Ovis aries: one gene and its partners. Each later gene encodes a partner of the first gene's protein in a complex. Links are inferred from orthologs where the notes say so. Each region holds a gene or a part of one and is shown in the gene's direction. Other genes may lie near its edges. The genes, in order: TXNL4A, PPIH and AAR2.

Region 1 (5,224 bases):
CTGACTCTTATGCGACCCATGTATAGGCCATGGAATCCTCTCGGCCATAATACTGGAGTGGGTAGACTTTCCCTTCTCCAGGCGATCTTCCCTACCCAGGGCTCCCACACTGCAGGCAGATTCTTTACCCACTGAGCCACAAATGGTATGTGAATAATATCTCAACAAGCTTTTAAACGAAATAAGTATCTGGAGTGTAATGCTGCACAATGATATGAACATACTAAATGCCGCTGAACTATATAGCTAAAATGGTAACTTTTATGATTGCAGCCATGAAATTAAAAGACGCCTACTCCTTGGAAGAAGAGTTATGACCAACCCAGATAGCATATTGAAAAGCAGAGACATTACTTTGCCAACTAAGGTCTGTCTAGTCAAGGCTATGGTTTTCCAGTGGTCATGTATGGATGAGAGAGTTGGACTGTGAAGAAAGCTGAGCGCCAAAGAATTGATGCTTTTGAACTGTGGTGTTGGAGAAGACTCTTGAGATCCCTTGGACTGCAAGGAGATCCAACCAGTCCATTCTAAAGGAGATCAGCCCTGGGTGTTCTTTGGAAGGACTGATGGTAAAGCTGAAACTCCAGTACTTTGGCCACCTCGTGCGAAGAGTTGACTCATTGGAAAAGACTCTGATGCTGGGAAGCACTGGGAGCAGGAGGAAAAGGGGACGACAGAGGATGAGATGGCTGGATGGCATCACGGACTCAATGGACGTGAGTCTGAGTGAACTCCAGGAGATGGTGATGGACAGGGAGGCCTGGCGTGCTGTGATTCATGGGGTCGCAAAGAGTCGGACACAACTGAGCGACTGAACTGATACTATTTAAATTTTACGATAACAATATGACCAACCTAGACAGCATTTTAAAAAGCAGAGACATTACTTTGCCAACAAAGGTCAGTCTAGTCAAGGCTACAGTTTTTCCATTAGTCATGTATGGATGTGAGAGTTGGGCTATAAAGAAAGCTGAGCACTGAAGAATTGATGCTTTTGAACTGTGGTGTTGGAGAAGACTCTTGAGAGTCCCTTGGACTGCAAGGAGTTCCAACCAGTCCATCCTAAAGGAGATCAGTCCTGGGTGTTCATTGGAAGGACTGATGCTGAAGCTGAAACTCCAATACTTTGGCCAACTGATGCGGAGAGCTGACTCATTTGAAAAGACCCTGATGCTGGGAAAGACTGAGGGCAGGAGAAGGGGAAGACAGAGGATGAGATGGTTGGATGGCATCACCGACACAATAGTCATGGGTTTGGGTGGACTCCGGGAGTTGGTGATGGACAGGGAGGCCTGGCATGCTGCGGTTCATGGGGTCGCAGAGTCGGACACGACTGAGCAACTGAACAACAAAAAATGTTTAGAAATACTAATTTCAATAACTTATTTGGGGGGCATTTGCGTCTTACCAGTACTCTTCTGTTAATGAACCGCTTTTCACAAGTAAAGCAACTGTGCTTGCGTCTGGAAAGCAGGGCCTCCAAAATAATTAGGGGGCTCTGTGTGGGAGTGAACGGCGACGAGCCCTTCTTCAGAGAGGTTATCCTCTTCGTTCACTCCCTGGTCCCAGTCGCACCGAGGAAACTTGAACGCCGACTCACTGGAGACACAGTAGGTCTGAAGCAGCCGCCGCCTCTAAGACGCTCATGACACTAAACCCACCTTCAGCCCCAGTACCTGAGCGGAGTCCACGCCCCTGCCCGGCCCGGGCGCGCGCACGCACTGGCCGGCGCACACGCTCTGCGGGCGCGCGCACGCACTCGCCGGCGCTCACGCTCTGTGGGCGGGCGGGCTCACTCGCCGGCGCTCTCGGCCTGTGGGAGCGCTCCGCGCCCGGAAGGACTGCTGAGCGGGAGGGTCCGGTGTGGGCAGAGGTGGGTGCGCGGCTGGAGACGGTGGGAAGGGGGCGGCGAGTGATGCGCGGGTGTGCGATTCCAGGGGTCCCCTCGCCTTGGTTTCTTGGCCGGGGGACAGTGGCGTTCCTGTGGCGGGATCGGGGTCGGAACTTGGTAGACGCGGGCCTGGCCCTGCGGGCGGCGCATCGACTGCCCCTCGGGGTGAGCCCCCGTGAGCCGGGGGCTCCGTGGGCTCCGTGGTGAGGCTCCGTGGGCTCCGTGGTGAGGCTCCGTGGGGTGGGGCCCCCGTGGTGAGGCTCCGTGGGCTCCGTGGTGAGGCTCCGTGGGCTCCGTGGTGAGGCTCCGTGGGCTCGGTGGTGAGGCTCCGTGGGCTCCGTGGTGAGGCTCCGTGGGGTGGGGCCCCCGTGGTGAGGCTCCGTGGGGCGGGGGGTCCCGTGGGTGTGCCATGGGGGGGCTGGGAGGAACTGGCCGGTGATTTCCCTCCACTCCCCCGCAGACCCATTGGCTCAAGATGTCGTACATGCTCCCGCACCTGCACAATGGCTGGCAGGTTGATCAGGCCATCCTTTCGGAAGAAGACCGCGTGGTCGTCATTCGATTTGGGCACGACTGGGACCCTACCTGCATGAAGATGGATGAGGTTCTGTACAGCATTGCTGAAAAGGTAAAGCAGCCACACCTCCCGTCACGTCCTGCCGCCAGGTTTGGTGTTTGCATCCTGTCGGATTGCTGTTGTTTTGCCGGTAAGAATTAAAAGTACAGCCAGTTCACCGGTTAAAGAGAAGCAGTAGGATTCACAGAAGTACAGACATACCTTGGAGTATGAGGATGGGCTCCCTGAAATTGGTCAGAATAGCTTATATCCTTACTGGCAGAAGTTTCCATAGATTCTCAAATTTTTAAGAGGTTCATGATGTCTCTCCTTGAAGAAGTGATTCTTATTAATTTATAGCGGTTTTAACTCATAGGTGTTTTCAAAAATTTACATCTATAGTGCCAGGAGCAAAACACGTTTGCAGCATTTGGCTGAGTGTAGGAGCTTACTTTGAATGGCTTAGTTTAAAAAACTTGACTTTTTTTTGGTACCGTGTTTGTTTGTTGTATGTATTGAGCAGAACATCTATGGTAACAACATAGTAAATTCCCTTCTTTTTCTTTGAGTCCCTTCTTTACCCCAGGGTGCTCTTTGTAAGTGACTTGATTTATAGCTTAGAGTGATACCAGTGTAGGAAACACTGGGAAAAGGTAGAACTGTAATGTTAGAACTAGTTTTCCTAATCCTTAAATTTAGTACAGGGGGTTGTCTGTGGCCCTTTGCTGACAATAAAGAGCAATTGTAGGGTACTGTTGAGTAACTAGGGCTTAATTCTCTTTCTGTAATTGTCTCATGGGTATTTTAAGGTAAATTTGATTTAGATTTTTGCAACTGTAGTAATAGGGCAAGAGGCAAAAATATTAGGGTATTAATAAAAAGTTTAATATTCAATGTTAATTTGAGAGGTTATTCATTTTATTAAAGAGTATAAAAATAAGGGAAACATTGAAGCCATCATTTATTTCACAGGAGTAAGATATGCTAGTATGGGCTGGATTAAAATAACTCCTTTGAGTAAAGAGTAACAGGTGTAAGGATATAGTTTGTATTTAGGAATTGAAAAGTAGTCTGACCTGCCATCAGTAATTTTCACTGTCTCCTCTTTGGTAGGACAGGCAGAGTGAGGTAGGGGTGATGGCACTCTGAACATTAGGGACTATCTTTCTGTGTCTGTCACCGAAAGTGCATCTCAGAGAGTCTGATCCTGGAGATCTGAGATGAGATCCAGAAGCTCCCCCAGGAATTCTGAATCCCTTCAAGGAGATCCAAGTCAGAGCAGGAGTCTGTGGTGATAACCTTACCCTCCTCTTCCTCTTGGACAGAAAGGTGTTGAGGGAGCTTGAAGAGATGCCTGGGGAACTCAGGAGAGCAGGGTTCTTCCAATTGGGTCCTCCCTGTCAGGTCCGAGGTCAGGAGTGAGGTGGTGCCCAGAAGTCATTTCCCCATGACTTGAGCCACAGTGGTTAAGGGCAGAGACTGCAGAAGTCAGTGATGATGGATGAAGACCCTGTTTCAGTAAGTGAATCACTGCTGTGTGGACGCTGATGTAACTTAGGTGGGTGTTCTGGGTTCTGCCTTGCAGGTGACAAGTAAGCATCAGGGGATGTCCAGACCCGGTGGCCCTCAGCACGAGGCTAGAATGGCAGAGGCGTGAGGGTTGTTTGCTGTTCATATCTGAGCAAAACTCAGCAAGATACTCTTAGCTAGGAGACAGATTTTGTGTCAGTGTAAGTTTTTAGGGACTTTTACCAGAATTGTTCTTTTCTAATCCCTATGTAGCGGTCAGAGACCAGATTGCTATACTGCTAGCAGGTGGCTCTTTTTGGAATGGAACCTGTTGGTAAGAACAGTTTAATTGGGCTCACTTGGAGTATTTTTCTCTAGTCTTTTAAGTGATTCTTTTTCTTTTATCCCGATTTCTATTTTAATAAACTTCTAATACTATGTAATAGTATAGTCTTTAAAAATGCAAACTTGAAATGCGTTACACAAATGTTAATGTTCTATTTTCTGCTTAGTGTAAGGGCAGAATATGAGTTTATAATTTTGGAAGCCCTTTTTGGGGACGTTCAACAGGAATTTTTGAAATCTAAGGTTTTAGTATAAAGAACAATTTAACTGTCTATCTCCCTCTGCAGAAATGGCAGATAATGGGAGATCTTCCTCATCTTGTTACGAGCTCTGTTTGGATACCCCAGCTGTTTTAAAGTGAGTAAAATTCCAACATTGAGGCTGGACTTGATTATACTATTCTCCTGGAATGTGTTTTATTGACTGACTGCTTCAGCAGCCCCAACCCCACCTCATGCTGGATTAGTTTTGAGCTGTACTGAAAACATAGAGATACGTTGAAAGATTTTGCAGATGTTTGCAGTTTGGTAGAATTATTATCAAAATAAAGTTCCAGGACTTCCCTGTGGTCCAGTGGCCCCGACCCCAGGCTCCCAAAGCAGGGGGCCCAGATTCAATCCCTGGTCAGGGAACTAGCTCCCATGTGCCACAACTAAAGATCCCACGTGCCACAACTGAAGATCCCACATGCCACAACTAAGACCTGGTGGCAGCAAAGTAAATAAAAATAAATATTTAAAAAATTAAGTTTTCTGATTAGTGGGTGATTTTATGCACAGCTTCAAGGTAAGACTATTTTTGTCTTGCCATTTTGGGGGAGTGTACTTTGCCAGCACTGTGACCAAGTCCCATTATGTGTAAGAATAAATGGGATGTTTAATTCTTGTATGTTTAAAGAGTTCATACAAGTAGAATTTAAAATA
Region 2 (5,389 bases), on another chromosome or scaffold:
ACTTTTTGTTGGCAAACCCAAGTCCCTGTGTCTGCAGAACAGTGAGAACAAACAAATAGAAAAATTAGAAAGAATTTGGAGGAAAGAAAGTTTTATTGCATTAGCCATGCGAGAACAGGTGGTTCCTGCTGGAAAGACCCAAACTTTCCATTAGTTTTCAGGGAATAGTTTTTAAAGGCATCATTTGGGGCTGATGACTGTAGGGTGTATGACTTTATTCTGATTGGTTGGTGGTGAGGTAACAGGGTGACATTCCAGGAATCTCAATCATCAACCTTCTAGTTCCCACCAGTCTGGCTTCTCAGAAGGTAGTTACCATCCTCTACCTGGGTGAGGGCTTTAGTTCCTGCAGCACTCAAAGATCTGTATCAGATTATTACATATATCCCATGAGGAGGGACTAAGGCTCTGTTTTATCATTGAAATACAATTTTTTTAAATTTAATTGTAGTTGATTAACAATGTTGTTAGTTTCAGGTGTACAACAAAGTGAACTAAATTTTATTTATTTATTGCTGTGCAGCAGACAGGATCTTAGTTCCCTGACCAGAGAGCAAACCCATGTGTGCTGGAAGCATAGTCTTAACCACTGACCCACCAGGGAAGTCCCTGAACTATCATTCTGTGACTGCTTTTCCTTTGTTTTTGCATTCCCTCATTAGGAACTATTTGGATCTGCTCTTTGGAACAAGATCCAGGAGGGTCAAGTCTTTCTACAAACAAGGAATCAGGTACATAAGCAAGGGTTTTATACACAGCAGTGTCCTGCCAAGGGCCGGCTGTCTCAATGCCTTTTTCTTTGGTACTCAACAACCTTGAGGGAAACAGGTGGACAAGAAAGGGAACGTTATAGATAGGTTATTCCTAAGCTTTGCAAAGGCACCCGGTTTTTACGAAGGACCCAGCTTCATTTTCATGGAGTTAAACAAGTGTGAAGCAGCTGGTGAGGTGGGGAAACCATATAATTTTGGATGGTGAATGGCATGAAGAAAATCAGTAATCTATCCAAAAGAGTGACAGAGGGCTACTTTAGATTGGGTGCAATGTTCCTGACTAATGACCTGAGATGAGACTTGACCTACAAGACCACTCCGCACCCTCATGAAGATTTAGAAGAATATTAAAGTCAGTTAACAGGCCCTAAATAGAATCCGAGTCTCCGTGACCTAGAGGAACAGGCTAGAGTCCCAGGTAGGTGGCCAGATAATGTAATGTAGGTCTTTTATGTAGCAACTGGATTTTATTCTAAATAAGGGAATCCGGGAGTGATTTATAAGCAGATTCATTTAAAAGCTCTAGCTGCTCTGCAGTAAGTGACTTGGAGATGATGAAAGCGGAAGCTTGTGGGAGAACTGGAATTAAAGTCTAGTGCCTGACTTCATGAAAGTGCTGAATATACTGAACAAGCCTTATATGCCAGGCTGTTCAAAGCGCTGAGGATAAACACGGTTTTTGCTTCCGGGCCTCCAGACTAGTGAAAAGGGGTAAGAGGCCGCACATATGATGGTTCAGACGGTCTTGGCTGCAAAGGCTGATCAGACCCTGAAGACTGCCTAGTCCAAGCCCCGTAGCCTGAGCGAGAATCATCCGTACTGCACTTACTGTATCCAAGTGAATGAGAGGCCCGTGGGCCTCGAGCGAAAAAAAAGCCGAGGATGTCCTCCGGCCTCAGCGCTCAAGGAGACTCAGGTGAGGTAACAACTTGCGACTCGTCAAAACGGAAGGAAGCCCCGGCCACCCACGCAGCGCGCAGCTTGGCATCGAAGGCAGAGAGCTTCCGGGGGCGGGGCCGACCGCCTCCCACCGCACCGCCCCCCCCCCCGGCTCTTCCTGCGCCTGCGCCGGAAATAAACACCTCCCGGCGGAGCAAGATCATAGGATCGCCGGAACCCCGCGCTCCCGACTTCTGCTTCCGGGTCAGAGGCATGGCGGTGGCAAATTCAAGCCCTGTCAATCCCGTGGTATTCTTTGATGTCAGCATTGGCGGCCAGGTGAGGTCTTGGCAGCCAGCCAGCCCGATGCCAAAGGGAACGTGCACGCGGTCTGGCAGGCAGATCACCTCCTCAGGTGTAGCAAACTCGGGAAGCCAAAAAGTGAAATTGAACCAGAACCTACCGACCTGCGGGGCGGGGGTGAGGGAGTAGGAAGAGGAGGAGTCTTGCGCATCCTAGCGCCCGGCTGGTGGAGGGACCGGGTGGAACGGAAGAGTAGGCTACGGAGGCGGAGGTGGGAGAGACCAAGCGGCATGGGGGCCCGAGGGTTCCCTGTTCGGTGAGGCCTTCACGGGCTTGGACTGGGCTTTCTGAACGTCTCTCGCCGGTTGCAGGAGGTTGGTCGTATGAAGATTGAGCTCTTTGCAGACGTTGTGCCTAAGACGGCGGAGAATTTTAGGTAAGATGATGTTCTTTGCTGGATAAACCAAACGAGAAGCTGGGCCTGTCTGTGGAATCTTCTGCCTACCTCTATCCGTTCATTCACCGTCCTTGAGATCTGACTTCTCTGGGTATCTCTCTGAATAGTCTTGACCGTCCCCTTTTCAGTTTATGTTAATCTGTATGCCTGGACGTCTGACCAGCCAGTTGGTGGGCTAGCTAGCGCCGACGTTCCCCTTCCCGCTGAGGTTAGGGACGCTCAGAGTTGTGATGCCATGGCGACTGAATCGTTCACTCTTTTCCTTTTCAGGCAGTTCTGCACAGGAGAATTCAGGTCAGTCTCTGACGTGGTTGACTTCTCTGCTTGCTCCTGAGGGCTGTCCTGAGGCTGCAGTTGAGGGTATTGGGGAATCACCGGCAGGCCTTGTATGACTGGTGACAGTAATAGAAGGTATTACTATGGGTCTGTCCTCAGTTCATTTGCCTTCTTCGTCTCTCTTCTCCCGACCATCTTTAGAAGGGTGTCTCTGGCTCGACTGTATGGTAAACGTGAAAGGCCTATGTTTACCTGTTTACCATTTCAAGTCTCTTTCTTTTTGCTTATAGAAAAGATGGGGTTCCGATAGGATACAAGGGGAGCACCTTCCACAGGTAAGGCCTTTGGCAAGCCATCCTGGGGGACTTTTAAAATTACTATTAGTATGGTTTAGAATTACTTCCTTGGGGGATTAGTCTCTTCAGAGGAAAACAAAACCATAGCATAATTCTTAGTTCTTGAGAAGGGATGCTTTTGTGAACTCAACCATTGATTTGAGGACTGAAGTGATAAACATTATATTTTGAAATTAATGTTATTCCAAACCACACAATCTTCTCCCAGCATCCTTTGTTCTCTGTTTCAGGGTCATAAAAGATTTCATGATTCAGGGTGGAGATTTTGTTAATGTAAGTACTGTTCCTTTCCTATTAAGGGCCTATAAGTTTTGTTTTTGTTGGTTGTTGTTATTGAAGCTGCTCCTCGGGGAACTGAGAACAGTAGCCAAGTTTGCTGGGGGAGGAGGTGGGAATGGGAATATCCTGTGATGGCTGCTACTCGCTGCATCACTAGATAACATATTAGCACTTTGATTGAGTCACTCACTCCAAATCTCAGTCTTTTAGGGCTGGGAACTGACTTTCCCAGCATACCTATAGGTGATCCATGACAGACCCAAATTAACTGGGCACATGGAATTTAGCTAGAAATCAGTTACAGTTAACTTTCTCTAAATGGGGGCAAGTCCCTTTCCAGTGAGTTAAATGCTTATGCCCTGATTTCCCATTCACTTCTGGTATCCCAGTGCCTCGGAAGGTGAGTTGTTATTTTTTTAATCAAGTTCATTAGTGGGCAAGAAATCAGAGAGTTCTGGAAGGATATTTTCCCTATTCACTAGGAGAACCCATTGAATTAATCCTTCATTGCTAAGCATGATTTTTCTTGCCACTGTATGCATCCCCATTTCAAGCTTCCCAACCTTGCAGGGTTCTGAATAAACCACATTTATGCTTTCTTAAACCTACGTTTGTCCATACCCACCCATTTCTGTGCATGATCTTTCTTATTAATATCATTTGGTTAGTCATGTTGCTGTTTTCTTGGATCTGGGAGACATTCTTTATCCTTTACATGTATATTTAGTTTGACTGTTAGGAGTTTTTTTAAGATTTCTATCTTTCCTACCCAGATAAGTTTACAAAGTGGCAGATTTGGGGCTGAATCCGAAACAGATATGCTTTGTATCATCTGTATGATGTTGTAAAACTGGGAAATTTTCCGGAAAGTTCTGGAGTTTTGTTTTCTCTGTTACAACTGAAAAGTAGGGGTGCACTTGGCCTGTGTTTCTCATGTAGCAACATTTGGTTGAGTCAAGTAACAGCTCCCTTTAGACAGGTATGTCCTTATTATTTCACCACAGTTCCCACCACTGGCTTCCCTTCTTTACGTCACATACTCCTATAGGCATTTAAGTTTGCAACCCCTGGCCACGACTGATTAGAGTAGGGCTTGGGGTGACCATATCCTTTTTTATTGGCAAGTAAGAAGGGCTAAGATGCTATTCTCTGTGTTCTTTCTTCCAAAGGCTTCTATACTGCTATATTGTCTTAGCAGGGATAGGACTAACTTCTTATGGGTCATTGCTAGGCACATGTGATCACTTGCTAATTGCTCTAGAGTTAGCAGTTAGTCAGCCAGAAGGCTGTCAGGGAGAAGAAATTACTCAGAGCCACCCTTAGGGCAGAAAAAATAGAATGAGCAAGACGTAGAAGCAGAATTTGAGACCTTCTAAAGTTGGACTAAGAATATTTGCTTGTTTGTTTGTTTTAATAATGTGTTTTAAAAATTTAAAAGATAATGTATTTTTTCTGGTTGCAAAACAAAAGTACAACAATGAAAATAAATCGTCTCAAGGAATATACTCTTGGCATTTTACTTTACAATTGCCCATCTTATTGTTGCGAACATTTGTATGTCAAATATAACTTTTAACAGACTTAAACTTTTAAAAATTTATGCTCAGTCACTGTGTTTTCCCTTGTCACGATCTACTTCCAAAACATTCTTGCTAATAACTCCTTACTGTTACCTTAGGAAAAGACAGTGAATTTATTTGATCAGTCCACTATCATGGAAGATTTAAGTTGCTTTCTGTTTTTTGTCCTGCAAATCAATTTGGTCATTTTCCCTACTCTGGCTTCTGGAGCACAGTAGATAGTATGATTATAGAAAATGATGTATTAACTGATCTTTTCTCTAGGTTTTTTTTTTTTTTTTAATTGGAAAGGAACATGTTTTCTCTTCCTTCTATATGTATGTGTGTATTTATGTGTAGTTAAAGAAATCCCATGGACAGAGGAGCCTGGCAGGCTACATCCATTGGGTCACAAGAGTCAGACATGACTTAGGGACGAAACAACAATAACGACAAAGATACAATAGCTCACATTTACACAGAGCTCTGTGGATTGCAAAAAGTTTT
Region 3 (5,327 bases), on another chromosome or scaffold:
TTTAGTTATCTGTCATTCCTGGGATCCTGAAATAGGACATCGTTTGCAAACACTGGGTACCCACACACCCTGGATCTGTGTGTCTGTCTCCCATAAATACAGGGTCAGTCTCTGAGCTGTTAAGGAATAGTGTGGCTGATTCATTTAGATCAGTGATTCTTAACACGGGGGTATGTGTGATTTTGTCACCCAGGGAACATTTAGCAATGTCTGGAAATACTTTTGGTTGTCACAACTGAGGGATGCTACTAACATATAGTGGGTAGAAACCAGGGATCCTGCTAAACATCCTACAACACAAGAGGACAGCTGCCCTACAACAAAGAATTATTTGGCTCCAAATCTCAATAGTATCAAGGTTGAGAAACCTGATTTGAACAGACATGCAACCCACCACGTGAGATTCCTGGGCTAACATCTACGATGCCTGTGCCCAGAGTTCAGTGCCCCAGAGTCTCAGAAGATGGTGAGTTCAGCTGGAACAGGGAGCTTGTCATGAAAACAGACCATGATGCTCAGCGCCCAAGACCAGGAATGGGGAGGGGAGGGAGGGAGCTGAGCTTCTTCGTGCAGGAAATGGAACTGACATGACAGGCTGAGATTGACACGCGTGACTGTGACTGATAGAGGCCATCTCTGGCTAATCCTGGGGCAGCTCGTTGTGATCCACCGTGACTGCAGGGCCCAGTCTAGTCTGCAACCCACTAAGAGATGAATTTTGACTGAGACAGATGGGCATGTCCAGCTGTCACTGAGGAATTGTGACAGGCAAGCTAAAGAGCAGCAGCACAGAGACAAGAAGAGCCAGTCACCAATGAGACCTTGGTTTGCATTCTAGCCTGGCCTCTCTCTGGCTGTGCAACTGCTCGGAGCCTCAGTTTTCTCTTCTGCATGTTGGGAATACCGAGTCTGCTTACTAGGGTTAGTGCAAGGATTAGATATCATATACCCAAGGGGCCTGCCCTCTGGATTTTGAATTTCCTTAGGCAGCCCTCAGAATCACATAAGCCAGTTCCTTGTAATAAAGCTCTTAAATACCTCCCGCTGGCTCTGCTTCTTTGATTGAACCCTGAGTGATACAACCACCCAGCACAGAGCTAGGCTCCAAAATAGAAGTCACTAATTAATAAAGAATCACTGTCATTAATTAAATGCATAATATTTAATAATTGAACTGGGTCTTTGTGTGGATTCCAGAAAAACAGCAGAGAACAAGACAGGTTCCCTGCCTCAAGGTGCATATACAGCCTACCTAAGATTTCATACTAGGCCTGCACTGCCAGAAGATATCGGGTGTTTATGGCAGGAAGGATCACTGTGGTGACTGCGGCTGTTAGACTGGGTCTTTCTGGCCTGGGTTTCTGAAGCTCTCCCCTACAGCTGAGTATGGTTGGAAGCAAGACCAGGTGATAAAGGGCCAACTGTGACACTCACTCTGATTGAGATCGGCTGACCAGGACTATGACTGAGCCTCTGACTGTGGCTACTGGACAGCTAGGACCTTGACCAGAACCTCAGAGACCACGACTGATTGAAACCGAAAAGCCGTGACTTGCGGATGTGTTTCTGTACCTGGATATAAAATGCATCGTTTGATGAAAGTTATTATCCACGGGTTCAAGAACTAAATCCAGCAACTCAAAGTAGCCAAAGGCAATGTTCCATGGGGCGGAACCTGCTGGCACGGGCCGTTTCTTCCGCGACCCAGGGACCCGCCCGGCCCCTTTCCCCTGTTGTTCCCCTCCGGCGCTATAGAGGGAGAACTTCCGGTGCGCTTCTGCGATCCCTGGACCTGGGCGAGACACCAGTCGGTGAGTGCAGCCTCCTGTCCTCTTTCAACTGTTCTGCTTTCGTTGTCTGTGTGGTCCGGCCACCCTTCTTTCCGGCTGGGGATCGCGGAGGGCCTGAACTCGGGCACCGAGCTGGGACTGTGGCGTCCCGGTCTTGAGCCGGTGGTGGGACCGACCTGCCTCTTTCAGGTGGGTTACTCTTATTGCTCCCCTTGTAACCGTCAGATACGCCGTCGCCAGAACTTTGTGGGGGCACCTGGGAAACTTCTTTTTTCCTAACTTTAGAACTTATGGGCTCGGAGGCCTTGGCTCCGCCTGACGTGGTTCTGGTGTTCTCTATCTTCGGTAAGGTCTTTTCCACGAACCGAGCCTTTGTTTCTCATCTACAACATGGATATCGTGCTTTTATTAAAAACAGATGTTTAGCCAGCGTCTAATATGTGCTAGAGGTACGAAAGACCCGCATCTCCTAGAGGTGACAGCCCTCTATTAATATTTGCGAACTTGCAGTTGTGATCAGTGAAATGGAAAGATAAAAAGCACTTTGAGAGCACATCACAGGAGATCTGACTTAGCCCCAGGTCGAGGAAGCGTTGCTGAGAAGGTAAATATTAAGCAGAGATCAGAAAAATGGTTTGAGACAGAGAGGAGGGAAGAGTTTTCTATCAGGGGAGCCTCTGTTTGAGGGTCTGAAAGAGTCAGTGTGGCTGCAGCAGAGCTTGGGGAGGAAGCATGATATGAAACAAGCTGGAGGAGTTTCCATGGACCAGGCCATACAGCCCTTGTAGGTCGCAGTGGGAATTTTGGTTTGCCAAGAGCCACGTGAGAAGTCTCTCAGAGGATGTTAAGTATGGGTGGTGACATGCTTAGACTGGCGGTTTGAGAAGGTCACTCCTGCTTTTGGATGGAGAAGGGATTGCAGGGACAATCTGGCTGAGGGACATGGTAGCTTAGATTAAGGATGTGGTGGAGAGAAGTGGGTAGATGTGATTCTCTGTATCTCAAGGCATCTTCTTTGTGCCAGGTCATTTGCCAGCTGTGGAAGATATAGTGAAGAGAATTACAATCTGCTGGAAGTAGAAAGAAAGAAGTGGCATTATCAAAGAGGAGCACACAGATGCCACTGGGAAAATGGCTAATTGATGAGCAGTTATTCTAAATGCAATAGCTGTTCATTTAATAAATATATTAAGTGCCTTTTGAACTCAAGATTGGGGATAGTAAGATGATATAAATTATTTAGAGCAGTGGCTTTCAGACTTTTTGCACTGTGACCTACAGTAACGCATACATTTTACATGGTGACCAAGAGTCCATACAGACACACAAAGCTTCAGAAAACAGTACTTCGCTTTACTTCTTAGGATGTACTCTGATTTTTTAAAATTTTGCCCTTTTATTTAAAAAAAAACAACAAACAATGTTGGTTGAGATCCTCTAAGTTGATCTTTTAACCCATTATCAGATTGTGACTTGCAGTTTGAAAAAAAATGTTGATTTAGAGTCATAATCATTTGTGTGGGTTTTGGGTAAAGACAATAAAATATGTCCTTTCCATATTGGGAAAAGTGTTGGTCTTCCTTTCCTCATGGTATTGTTTTGTTTGTTTAAATAAAATGAGTAAAAGGAATTAAACAGGCAGCTGGTTCTTCTGTTTGTGAAGTTTTGTGGTCTTGTTGATATGTCTGGCTGGATTGGAAGTGCCTGGAAGGCAGTAACTGTCTTCTCCATGATTATTTCTGTTCGTGTCTGGCAAAAATCCTGCAGGCTCTCCAAGGTTATTTGTTGAATTGAATAGGTAGGTGTCTTGGGACTAGAGAGTTAGACGTGTTCTGTTAAAATTAGTTCATGTTGGACCCATCCTTATAAATACAGAGACTATGTCTGTTTACAGAAGTCTTATCAGTGTGTCCTCTTGGGTAGTTCAGAGGTAGATAAAAATAAATGTTCTAAGGTCTTGGTCTTCTAAATACTGATCCGAGGCCAGCCATGCCACCTGGATCCATTTGGGTGAGCAGTCCAGAGGTGCTACTGACTGTGGACCCTTTGGAAAGTTGTTTCACTCCCTGGACTTTAGACTTCTTTATATATATATATATATTTTATATGTATATTTGTATATATGCAGGAGAAGAGGGTTGTGGTTGAAAAGCTCTCCACTGCCCAAACCTTTTGTGAATTTTATTTATTTTATTTTATTTTACTTTATTTTACGTTACAATACTCTTGTGAATTTTAGATGCTAAGCACCCCGTTTCCACTTTCTGTCCATTTCTGGGCCTCCGCTGAGGCTTATGGGAAACTGGGTGGATGCTTCTCGAATCTTCTAAGTTTTAGACAGAATTATAGTTTAAGACAGTTTAGGCACACTAATCCTTTAGAGTGGACCAACCAGGCATTCTCCACCTTCATCTTCTGTTATGAGAAGGAGATCTGAAGAGTGCACAGATCTGAAGGAGCTTCGGAGTGCACAGTGGGAAGAACGCTGGCCTGGAGGGCAGGGTACCCGGGTTCTAACTGGGTCCTTGTGTGGTCTTGAACATGTCTCTTTTCTTTAACTGATGTCTTTCCAGCTGTGCAGTGAGTGTTCTTGCTCATTAAACTCAGAAACAAAAACTGTCTTCTCTTTGAGTGTCGTTTTCTTTACCTGTGATGAAAATTAAGGTAGAAAATTATGTCACTGGAAAAGATCCTGATGCTGGGAAAGATTGAAGTCAGAGGAGAAGGGGACGACAGAGGATGAGATGGTTGGATGGCATCACTGACTCAATGGACATGAGTTTGAGCAAGCTCCAGAGTTGGTGATGGACAGGGAAGCCTAGCATGCTACAGTCTAAGGGGTTGCAGAGTCGGGCGCAACTGAATGACTGAACTGAATTGTTTCAGGGGTCTAACTCAGTATCTGGCACATAGAGAATGCTCAGCAAATGAAGAATCCTTCCCAAGGTTCTGATTAACTCTGACTTCTTTCTTTTTCAGCGGAATAGAAAAGTTTTCCTTTCGATCACTCACCCCTGGCCCCATGGCTGCCATGCAGATGGATCCTGAGCTTGCCCGGCGCCTCTTCTTTGAAGGGGCCACCGTGGTCATCCTGAATATGCCCAAGGGGACAGAGTTTGGCATTGACTACAACTCCTGGGAAGTGGGGCCCAAGTTCCGAGGTGTGAAGATGATCCCGCCAGGCATCCACTTCCTCCACTACAGCTCTGTGGACAAGGCCAATCCCAGGGAGGTGGGCCCTCGCATGGGCTTCTTCCTTAACCTGCAGCAGCGGGGGCTGAAAGTCCTACGCTGGGATGCGGCCCGGGAAGAGGTCGACCTGTCCCCAGCCCCAGAAGCTGAGGTGGAGGCCATGAGGGCCAACCTCCAGGAGCTGGACCAGTTCCTGGGACCTTACCCCTACGCCACGCTCAAGAAGTGGATCTCCCTCACCAGCTTCATCAGCGAGGCCACCGTGGAGAAGCTGCAGCCCGAGAGTCGGCAGATCTGTGCCTTCTCAGAGGTGCTGCCCGTGCTCTCCATGAAGCACACCAAGGA

What was found.
Region 2: TXNL4A (region 1) and PPIH share a complex: the UniProt entries of both Homo sapiens proteins name them as parts of the U4/U6-U5 tri-snRNP complex. The link is inferred for Ovis aries from reciprocal best matches to the Homo sapiens genes TXNL4A and PPIH.
Region 3: TXNL4A (region 1) and AAR2 share a complex: the UniProt entries of both Homo sapiens proteins name them as parts of the U5 snRNP complex. The link is inferred for Ovis aries from reciprocal best matches to the Homo sapiens genes TXNL4A and AAR2.

What each region holds. Positions count from the first base shown.
Region 1 is NC_056076.1:700,848-706,071, forward strand, and holds the start of TXNL4A (thioredoxin-like protein 4A), read left to right. Parts: upstream 1-1,794; 5' UTR 1,795-1,873; intron 1,874-2,351; 5' UTR 2,352-2,366; coding exon 2,367-2,519; coding exon of another isoform or gene 2,520-2,598; intron 2,599-4,229; exon of another isoform or gene 4,230-4,290; intron 4,291-4,588; coding exon of another isoform or gene 4,589-4,658; intron 4,659-5,224. UniProt on the Homo sapiens protein: Plays a role in pre-mRNA splicing as component of the U5 snRNP and U4/U6-U5 tri-snRNP complexes that are involved in spliceosome assembly, and as component of the precatalytic spliceosome (spliceosome B complex).
Region 2 is NC_056054.1:17,160,763-17,166,151, forward strand, and holds the start of PPIH (peptidyl-prolyl cis-trans isomerase H), read left to right. Parts: upstream 1-1,901; 5' UTR 1,902-1,925; coding exon 1,926-1,991; exon of another isoform or gene 1,992-2,326; coding exon 2,327-2,391; intron 2,392-2,682; coding exon 2,683-2,706; exon of another isoform or gene 2,707-2,800; coding exon of another isoform or gene 2,801-2,823; intron 2,824-2,978; coding exon 2,979-3,023; intron 3,024-3,274; coding exon 3,275-3,317; intron 3,318-5,389. UniProt on the Homo sapiens protein: PPIase that catalyzes the cis-trans isomerization of proline imidic peptide bonds in oligopeptides and may therefore assist protein folding. Participates in pre-mRNA splicing.
Region 3 is NC_056066.1:65,347,675-65,353,001, forward strand, and holds the start of AAR2 (protein AAR2 homolog), read left to right. Parts: upstream 1-1,757; 5' UTR 1,758-1,979; intron 1,980-4,769; 5' UTR 4,770-4,812; coding exon 4,813-5,327. UniProt on the Homo sapiens protein: Component of the U5 snRNP complex that is required for spliceosome assembly and for pre-mRNA splicing.